2 linked regions of the Cricetulus griseus genome follow. The protein of the gene in region 1 purifies or fractionates together with the protein of each later gene. This does not show direct contact. Links are inferred from orthologs where the notes say so. Each region holds a gene or a part of one and is shown on either strand. Other genes may lie near its edges.

The links. The genes of interacting proteins can lie anywhere in the genome.
Region 2: the proteins of Get3 (region 1) and Ubl4a purify together in Homo sapiens (affinity purification with mass spectrometry; 4 studies listed by BioGRID and IntAct, with this or other methods). This does not show direct contact. The link is inferred for Cricetulus griseus from reciprocal best matches to the Homo sapiens genes GET3 and UBL4A.

Annotation. Positions count from the first base shown.
Region 1 is NC_048596.1:159,342,156-159,346,240, reverse strand, and holds the start of Get3 (ATPase GET3), read right to left. Parts: upstream 2,801-4,085; 5' UTR 2,775-2,800; coding exon 2,614-2,774; intron 1,878-2,613; coding exon 1,730-1,877; intron 1-1,729.
Region 2 is NC_048604.1:1,347,720-1,351,684, reverse strand, and holds the start of Ubl4a (ubiquitin-like protein 4A), read right to left. Parts: upstream 2,801-3,965; 5' UTR 2,687-2,800; coding exon 2,639-2,686; intron 2,479-2,638; coding exon 2,373-2,478; intron 2,123-2,372; coding exon 1,914-2,122; intron 1,798-1,913; coding exon 1,723-1,797; coding exon of another isoform or gene 1,687-1,722; exon of another isoform or gene 1,051-1,686; coding exon 934-1,050; 3' UTR 1-933. Other genes in the region: Slc10a3 (P3 protein), read right to left, coding at 3,647-3,965. UniProt on the Homo sapiens protein: As part of a cytosolic protein quality control complex, the BAG6/BAT3 complex, maintains misfolded and hydrophobic patches-containing proteins in a soluble state and participates in their proper delivery to the endoplasmic reticulum or alternatively can promote their sorting to the proteasome where they undergo degradation.

The DNA of each region.
Region 1 (4,085 bases):
TGGAGACCAAAATTTGGATCTCCAGAACCCATGTAAAGGTGGACACTGTAATGACCCTATACTCCCAGGCTGCTCTGTTGAGATAAGAGGTGGAGAACTCCTGGAAACTCTCAGGTCATCTAGCCTAGTGTATACAGCAGTAAACAAGGGAGTCTCAAACAAGGTGGTGGAAGAGCAAACACCAATATATGGAGATGTCCTCTGACCTTTACAGTGGCACATGGGCATGGATATATGCATATGCTACACACACACACAGACACACAGACACACAGACACAGACACACAGACACAGACACACAGACACACACACACACACACACACACACACACACACACAGAGATTGAAACAGATGGACAAAATTCAGATATGACCTAAGTAAATCCCCAGCTTTCTTGTTACTCTTCCTGACATCATCCTTGACTTGCAATCCAGTTTCCATATGACAGCCAGACACGGATTTCTTTTCTTTTTTTTGGTTTTTCGAGACAGGGTTTCTCTGTGGCTTTGGAGGCTGCCCTGGAACTCTATCTATAGACCAGGCTGATTCTGTCTCCCAAGTGCTGGGATTAAAGGCATGAGCTACCACGGCCAGGTACTACTATATTTTTAAAGACAGGCTCTTCCTATGACAGGCCCTGCTGGCCTCAGATTCAGTGATCTATCTGCCTCTACTTTTCTAGTGCTGGGATGAAAGGTATGTGCCACCATGTCCAGCTCTTTTAGTTTATGAACTTGAGAGCTGGGGATGCAGTTAAGCACTGGCCTAGCATACTGGATGCCCTGAGCTTCATCTTAAGCAGCAGCAGCAGCAGCACCGCTGCCAACAACACAATAATAACAACAACAAAAACATGAGTATGGGGCTAGAGAGATGGTTCAGCAGTTAAGAATGTGTACTGCTCCTCCAGAGGACCCCCAATTACATAGGGGTGGGAGTTCACAATTGCCTGTAACTTCAGCTCAAGGGAGTCCTGATATCTCTGGCCCCTGTATATATAATTAAAAATAAAGTTAATCTTTAAAAGAATAGCTTTCTTTCTTTCTTTTTTTTTCAAGACAGGGTTTCTCTGTGTAGCTTTGGAGCCTATCCTGGTACTCGCTCCAGAGACCAGGCTGGCCTCAAATTCACAGAGATCCACCTGCCTCTGCCTCCCGAGTGCTGGGATTAAAGGTGTACGCCACCAATGCCTGGCAAAGAATAGCTTTCTTAAAAAAAAAAAAAAAAAAAAAAAGCTTTCTATCAAACTTTGACTCAAAGCCAAACTACTTGCTCAGCCAGCAAAACCTCACAGTGTTTACCTCTGGTTGGTCTTCCTCCTTTTCATTCCCTCCCTTTGCTTGCTTAGTTCCATTTTGTCATCTTTCTTCCTGTTCCTTAAAGGTTTCCTTCCCACATGTCCCTCTGGGGGGATGGGGACAGGGACACACCAAAGAGATGAATATGTAGACTATGAATGGCCTGGTGGCTGCTGGTAGGTATGCCCCCAGAAGACTTTATGGTTGGAGCTCACTGGTTAAGAGCACTGGCTGCCTTTCCTGAGGGCCTGGGCTCAATTCCCAGCACCCAGATGGTGGCTCATAACCATCTGCGACTCCAGTATTAGGGGATTTGATACCCTTTTCTGGCCTGCATGGGTATAAGGCATGCACCTGTCATTAAAACAAAACCAAAAAAAAAAAAAGGGGGGGGGGAACCTCAGCCTGAGAGGCCCCCAGCTAGCTTACCATAGCAAAGAGGTTGTCATAGCCTTTGACCTTGGTAGGCACCTTGGAGAACTTCTGATCAAAAGCATCTGAGATGTTGTGGGCTGGGTCTGTGGAAATGATTAGAACACTCTCACGTCCTTTAGACAGCTGGACCGCTAGGCTGCAGCTGCACAGAAGAAAGGTGGGAAGACAAGAAGTGAGGAGCCAGCTTTGGTAGTGTGGGTTTATAACAGGAAATGCAAGGTCGGGCCACAGAGACCTGGATCAGGCAGACCTTAAAAGCAAAGTACCGGTCCCATTGAGATCATGCTTTGATACCCGCAGAGATCACCACCTGACCCTTCCATTTGGACTGGACTGGTGTGCAGTTTTCAGTTGATTGGTTCGGCTTGTTTGAGTGCCTGCTTCTGCCTTTTTGGCATACAGTGGCACAGTCCAGCTGCACAGCCAGCACAGACTGCTCTACTTCACTCACTCCACTTGCTCAGGGACAACAATGTACTTCACCTCTCAATGGACTGTAATTATGTGCCTTTTACTCCTTCCCGCGCTGGGCATCAAATGGAAGGTTCGTCATACTATAACAGCTTCCACTGGTGTCCCTGCCTCTACTCTGAACTTCCTGGGGGGACTGTCCATCCGATTGCGGTATTTAAATGCTCCTCTGCACACCCCACGCGCTGGATTCACAAGGCCCAACGAGGGATAATCCAACCCAGAACGCCAGGCTTGCATTTAGGAGGTATCTTCGGCAAGCTGCCGTAACTTCCCGAGAGTACAACCCCGAAGAGCCCCGCTCAGCTCGCTTTGCCCCGCTTGGGATGAAAAGGCCGGTCCCTGTCCTCCCCTTCGTCCGGTGGTACATCCCACCCGCCTTCCTGGCCCCACCAGAGCCTCCTTACCTGCAGGTGGTCTTACCCACGCCACCCTTGCCCCCGACGAAGATCCACTTAAGGCTGCGCTGCTCGATGATATTGCTAAGCGTGGGTTCCAGCGGCTCCACGTCAGGAGCATCCTCGAACTCCTCTGCCTCAACCCCCCACCCGGCCACCCCCGCCGCCATCTTGGAGCCGGCTCACGTGATCAAGCGGAACGCACCACGTCCTAAGCAACTACAGGGGAAATGAGTCTGCCACATCCCTGTGCAGGCTGGAAGTCTGACTTATTTTCCTCCTGAGTTGACACTTGGGGACAATGGACGCTGTATTTTCCCGTTTTATGCGTCGAAGGTTCCCCTTGGTGAACTTTCGCCTGCAGTTTTCTAAGAATTCCCCTGCCTTGTGAGCGTAGTGGTGTGACCCACGGTAGTGCCCTTCACTGATTGGGTCCTCCGTCTTGCGGCACTCTTTCCATTGGCTGCATCCCGTCTTACTTCCGCTAGCCACGCTCAAGTCCCTGTGGGCGTCAACCTCTGTCTCCTTAGCAACCAGCCAAACATCCTGTCTAAGCTCTTTGAACGAAGTTACAGCAGAGGTGTCTCTTGCCTCGATTCTATAGGCTCCGTTTCCTGATTATCTTTTCCCTCTTTCTTTCTGCTTTGGACCTCAACGTCTCTTCTTGTCCGCCAGTTACTCTGTTGGCTGTGAGCCACCTGACTCCGGCCGCAAAACGATCACGAACGAAATGGTTAGTAGGGTCGCTAAAAGGCAAAGAGACTCCATTTGTGGCAGAGCACGCAGACCTTTGTCCCGTGTGCCCGGAATACCCATGCTGGGCAGGAGTGCTATTTGTCACAGTCGAGAGAACTTTAACTTCCGAAACTCTAGCTGCGCTTGGCGCTCTGCTCACCCCCATCCCCGTGCACACGTGTGTGCTCCAAGTCTAGCCAGTGCTGTCTGAACTGAGTCCCTGTCCTCGGGGAAGAGTACGAGGAGGGTTCTTAGTCCCTTGGTGCAGAACCCAGCTCAGAACATTAAGTCTTAAGAGAAGGATCAGGCTGGAAATATCTCCGGCTTCATTTGAGTGCTCAACTTGTAAAATACTACGACTCTCAGACAGGGCGTCTAGCTGCACGCAGCCAGCAGTATCCTTACTTAAAGGTAAGAGATTAAATGCCGAGGCAGATGCCCGGTCTAGAGAAGCTCCCGTTTCTAATAGGAGGTGCCGAGTCAGACAGATATGCTTTCTAGACCTAGTTAGGGGCCACCCAAGTTCCCAAGTGTACGCAAACAACATTCTTTCAATTACAGAGTTCTGGTGGCCGACTATGATTGTGCTCTCAGCCTTTAGAGGGATCGCGGGCCCCAGACGATGGTTCCATTCTGTCTGGCAGGATTAGGGAAATCCGAGGAACAGAAGGCAAGGAACCCGGCTTCTAGGCTCCACCCACTGGTCGCCAGGTCAGAGCACCTTTGCCCCGCCCAAGTCCCGCCCA
Region 2 (3,965 bases), on another chromosome or scaffold:
CCACCCTTTGATCCTTGGAAGTAGTGGTGAGGATGAAGCAGATGCTGGAGAATTCAGAGGGAGGCAGGAAAAAAGCTGGATGTTTGGTGAAATTGTTCATCAACTGCCAGTACTCCTGGGCTTTTTCACTTTTGTAAGCCAGTAAGTTTCCTGTGTTGTTAAACCAATTATTTGAAACCAAAAGCAGACTAGTTTATTAATAGAGTTCGTCTTGGTAAAAAGTCTCACATGCACCTTAAGTGTTATTTAATTTTCCAAATACATTCCCTGACTCAAAGTGAACAAGGACATTGGTAAGCTTATTATCTGAGCTGCCAGTCCACATATGTGCTCACAAGCAGGTCCCTGATGTGGTACCCCAGGTCTCAGGGAGGAGCAGGGTCTACCAGCTGCTCATCCCCTCAGGCCTCACTTTAGTTTATCATTCCATTATGGGGAGTCAAGATTTGTCCCACAAGGCCCAAAGCCCATGCAGGAGGCCGTTGGGCAAGAAAGGCCAGTGTAGTCCCAACAACATTCAGAGTTGCTTCCTTGGCAAGAGTGGAGGGGCAGGAGTAATGTCCTGCAGGTGGCTATCTTCCAGCCTCAACTGCTCCCAGGGGGTCCTCCTCAAAGGAGCTAGTACTTACATGACCTTTAGCACCCAGGCATAGGTTCAGTGAAAAGAAGAACCACTGTCTTCAGCTTACATTTCTATCTCCTCCTCAGCACCCTGAGTTTCTTCTTAAGCAATGAAGGTGTGCAAACTGAAAGTCCCTGTACACAGGTGGCAGAGGAAGCATCCGTCTCATGCTGTGGGAGAACGCTGGGTGAGGAGACCCAGGAAGAATCCTAGTTGTGACACTGCTTTGTGGAGTCACCTGCTGTCCCTCATGGATGAGACCGACTTCCAGGAGGAGCCAAGCAGATAGGGTCCCCCCAAGAAGAGCTATGTCACAAAGGCCCAGGATATTCCATCTGTGGCCCATGCTTGGCTACCACTTCACTTTTGGCTTCAGTTTGCTTACTGAACACAAGATGGCACTGCAGTTGGTGATAGCAGACTCCCACCTTGAGCCGGGAAAGAGGGAAGGAAACTTATTCAGGTCAGAGGAGTGGTCACCACTAACAGACTCAATGGTAGGGGACCTAAGTGGCACAGAAACTTGACTTAAGCCATACAACGGAGCTAGGGTATCTTTCTGATCCTCCAGCCCCTGACTTTGTCATTCATCAAGAGCACACTGGCTGCAGCAGCAGAGGGACTCTGGATGGCTACCACTTGGCTTCCTATGGAGATTTGCCAAGGGTATGCCAGACATACTAGAGGACAGGTGACAGGGACTAGTGGCTTCCTGAGGGAGTCACTTGAGTGTGTATGTTGAGTGGGCTAAATGGGAATGTTAAGGCCCATCCCTCAAAACAACACACTCTTTCTCCTACAGAGGCACTTCTACAGCTGGCTAGACTTGGATTCTGGCTGTCCCAAGCCATTGCTAGGTGTTTCTACAGTGCAGCCTCAACTGTCCTGTGGAAGGCAGAAGAGAATTCAGGCCAAGTACTTTGAGTAGTGCTTAGCACCTAGCAAGAACTGGGTACATACCAGCTATTATTATCACTATGAGCCAAACTGCGACATGAGAACACATTTAATGCAACATGCAGCTGTGGCCTGACCTGGGATTTCTCCCCCCACTCCCAGAAATGCTATTTGGAGAACCCTTTTTCCATAGACTCAGTTACTTCAGGGTGTAGAAAGCGGCTGGCCAAACGTTCAATGTCATCCAGTGTTAGGCGGCTCAGAGATCTGTCATAATCCTGAGAAGAGAAGACCAGGTGGGTTCAGGGGGTGCAAGCAGGAAGGGGTATGCTGTAATAGGTGGGGGCTGGGGCTAGAAACATTAAGATTGGAGGTCCAGAATTATTCTGCTCACCCTCTGTAGTTGTTCCAGGACCCTGCTGGTATCTGCTACACTGAAGTGACGGGCCAGGACTTTGGAGATCAGCTGCCAGAGGGGTGGGGGTGGGGAGTCGACCAGTCTGTGGGCAGACCCTTCTTCCAGCAGCACCTTCTCCAAAGGTTTAACGACTAGGTTGAGTTTAGAATTGGGCCCAATGTTGTAATCTGACAGTCGTTTCTCATCTGCCAAAGAGAGATTGGTGGGGTTCCTTCCTCATTGTTGTGGGGGTGGCCAGAGAGCAATCCTGCCATGGACAGCTAGAGTGAAACACTGCAGCATCTGGCTATGGGGTGGTGGCGTCTCAGCTACTTTTCCAAGGTTTAGTGGCAGCCACTGCTCTAATCCATTACACTGGCCTGTACATCCCGTCCCCCAACTTCCAACTTCCTACTTCCTGTGGGGGGTCCCTGGATGGCTCCTTTCCCTGGTTACCTGTTAGGGCCTTGCCCTTGAACAGCAGACGTTGCTGGCGCACAGGGACGTTCAGCTTATCCGAGACCAGATGCTTCAGTGTAGACACTAGCTCGTCCTCCGGCACCTGATCCGGCCGAGGTGGAGAGGCAAGGGCTTAGTCCGAATTCCCTGGGCGATGCAGCCCTAGTGCCCCCTCCTGAGGTTAGCTCTCCTGGCCTCCCCCGCCCGCCATTGGCCCCAGCGGCAGGAGTGTGTGAGTGTAGCAGCCTGCAGGGTAACCTTACCTGTAGGCTGCACTCCCGGCCCTGGAGCGCCTTCACGGTCAGCTGCATGATGCCCACAGCCGCGTCCACTAGGACCAATGTAAACCCCAATGGTCCCCTGCCGCGCGCCGCTGCCCCGGGCGCGCGCCGGAACCGCCCGCCGCCGCCGGAAGCCGTGAAAGGGGCGAGCCCGCCGCGTGGCTCCCGCCCGGTCCCGCCTCCAGGCCTTTGCGCCTGCCTGAGCCTGGGGTAGCGTCCACCGCCCTGGGCCCACAAGCCTCCAGCGGCTTTGGTGCAGGGAAGTGGGGCCATTCCGCCCACTGGGATAGGAGCGAGGAATCTGTAGGGTCAGGCTTGCTTCACCGGGGAGCTGTGGCTTGAAAGGAAGGACCAGAATGTCAGCCTCATGCAAGGCCTGACCTGTTAATTCCTACCCTGCTGGTGGACCACATCAGGGCAAACATGTAGTAGTGTCTCTCAGATACAGAAATGGTCCAGTCCTACCTGCCATAGCCCAATGGCTTTCTACTTCTTCCTTTCTAGTCTGGTTGCAAAAATATCCTGGCCGAGGCTCCAAAGTAGTGGACCTAGGCCTCTATCTCTTCACTCATTATAGAACAGAGTCCTGCCCTGTTCTGATAGAGAAAAGCCTTTGCAGATCTGGAGATATAGCTCAAAGGTACAACACTTGTCTACCATGTGCAAAGCACAGAGGAAGGAGAGAGTGGGCTCTGTGCACGGTCACCAAGCCTGTTCACCATCCTGGTCCATATCAACCCAGACACACTCTTCCTATCCCCATCCATACACTCCAAGGGACAAAGACTGGAAGGGACCCAAGCTTGCTTTTGTCTTTTATTGAAATATATTTCTAACTCAGCATGGCCTCTTTGGCACTGAAAGCTGGAAAAAAAAAGCCTGGATTTGTCTGAGTGCATAGTGCATGAGAACAAAAGGCCTTTGGTACAGAACTGTGGGGACAGTGGATGGAGTATGGGGGCTGGGGTTATAAAACTTGATCCAGGGTCCTCATGGAACAGGAAACAAGTTGCTGTAGATGAACTGGCCAATAACCAAAGCCAGCATCTCGGAGGTACCACTCAGTGCCACAATGAAGGGGGCCTGAGAGGCATAGTCTGCTTGAAGGCGACGCAGAGACAGCTGCAGCATAGCTAAAGCTAGCAAGCTGTTTTGTACCCCTACCTCAATGCTGACTGTCCGCCGCTGGGCCACTGGCAGCTTCAGGCACATGGCTAGGCTGTAGCCCACCAAAAGGCCAACCAGGGGCACTGTGAAGCCCACCAGTACGATGGGTAACCTGACTCCCACTAAGATGAAGACCCCCATG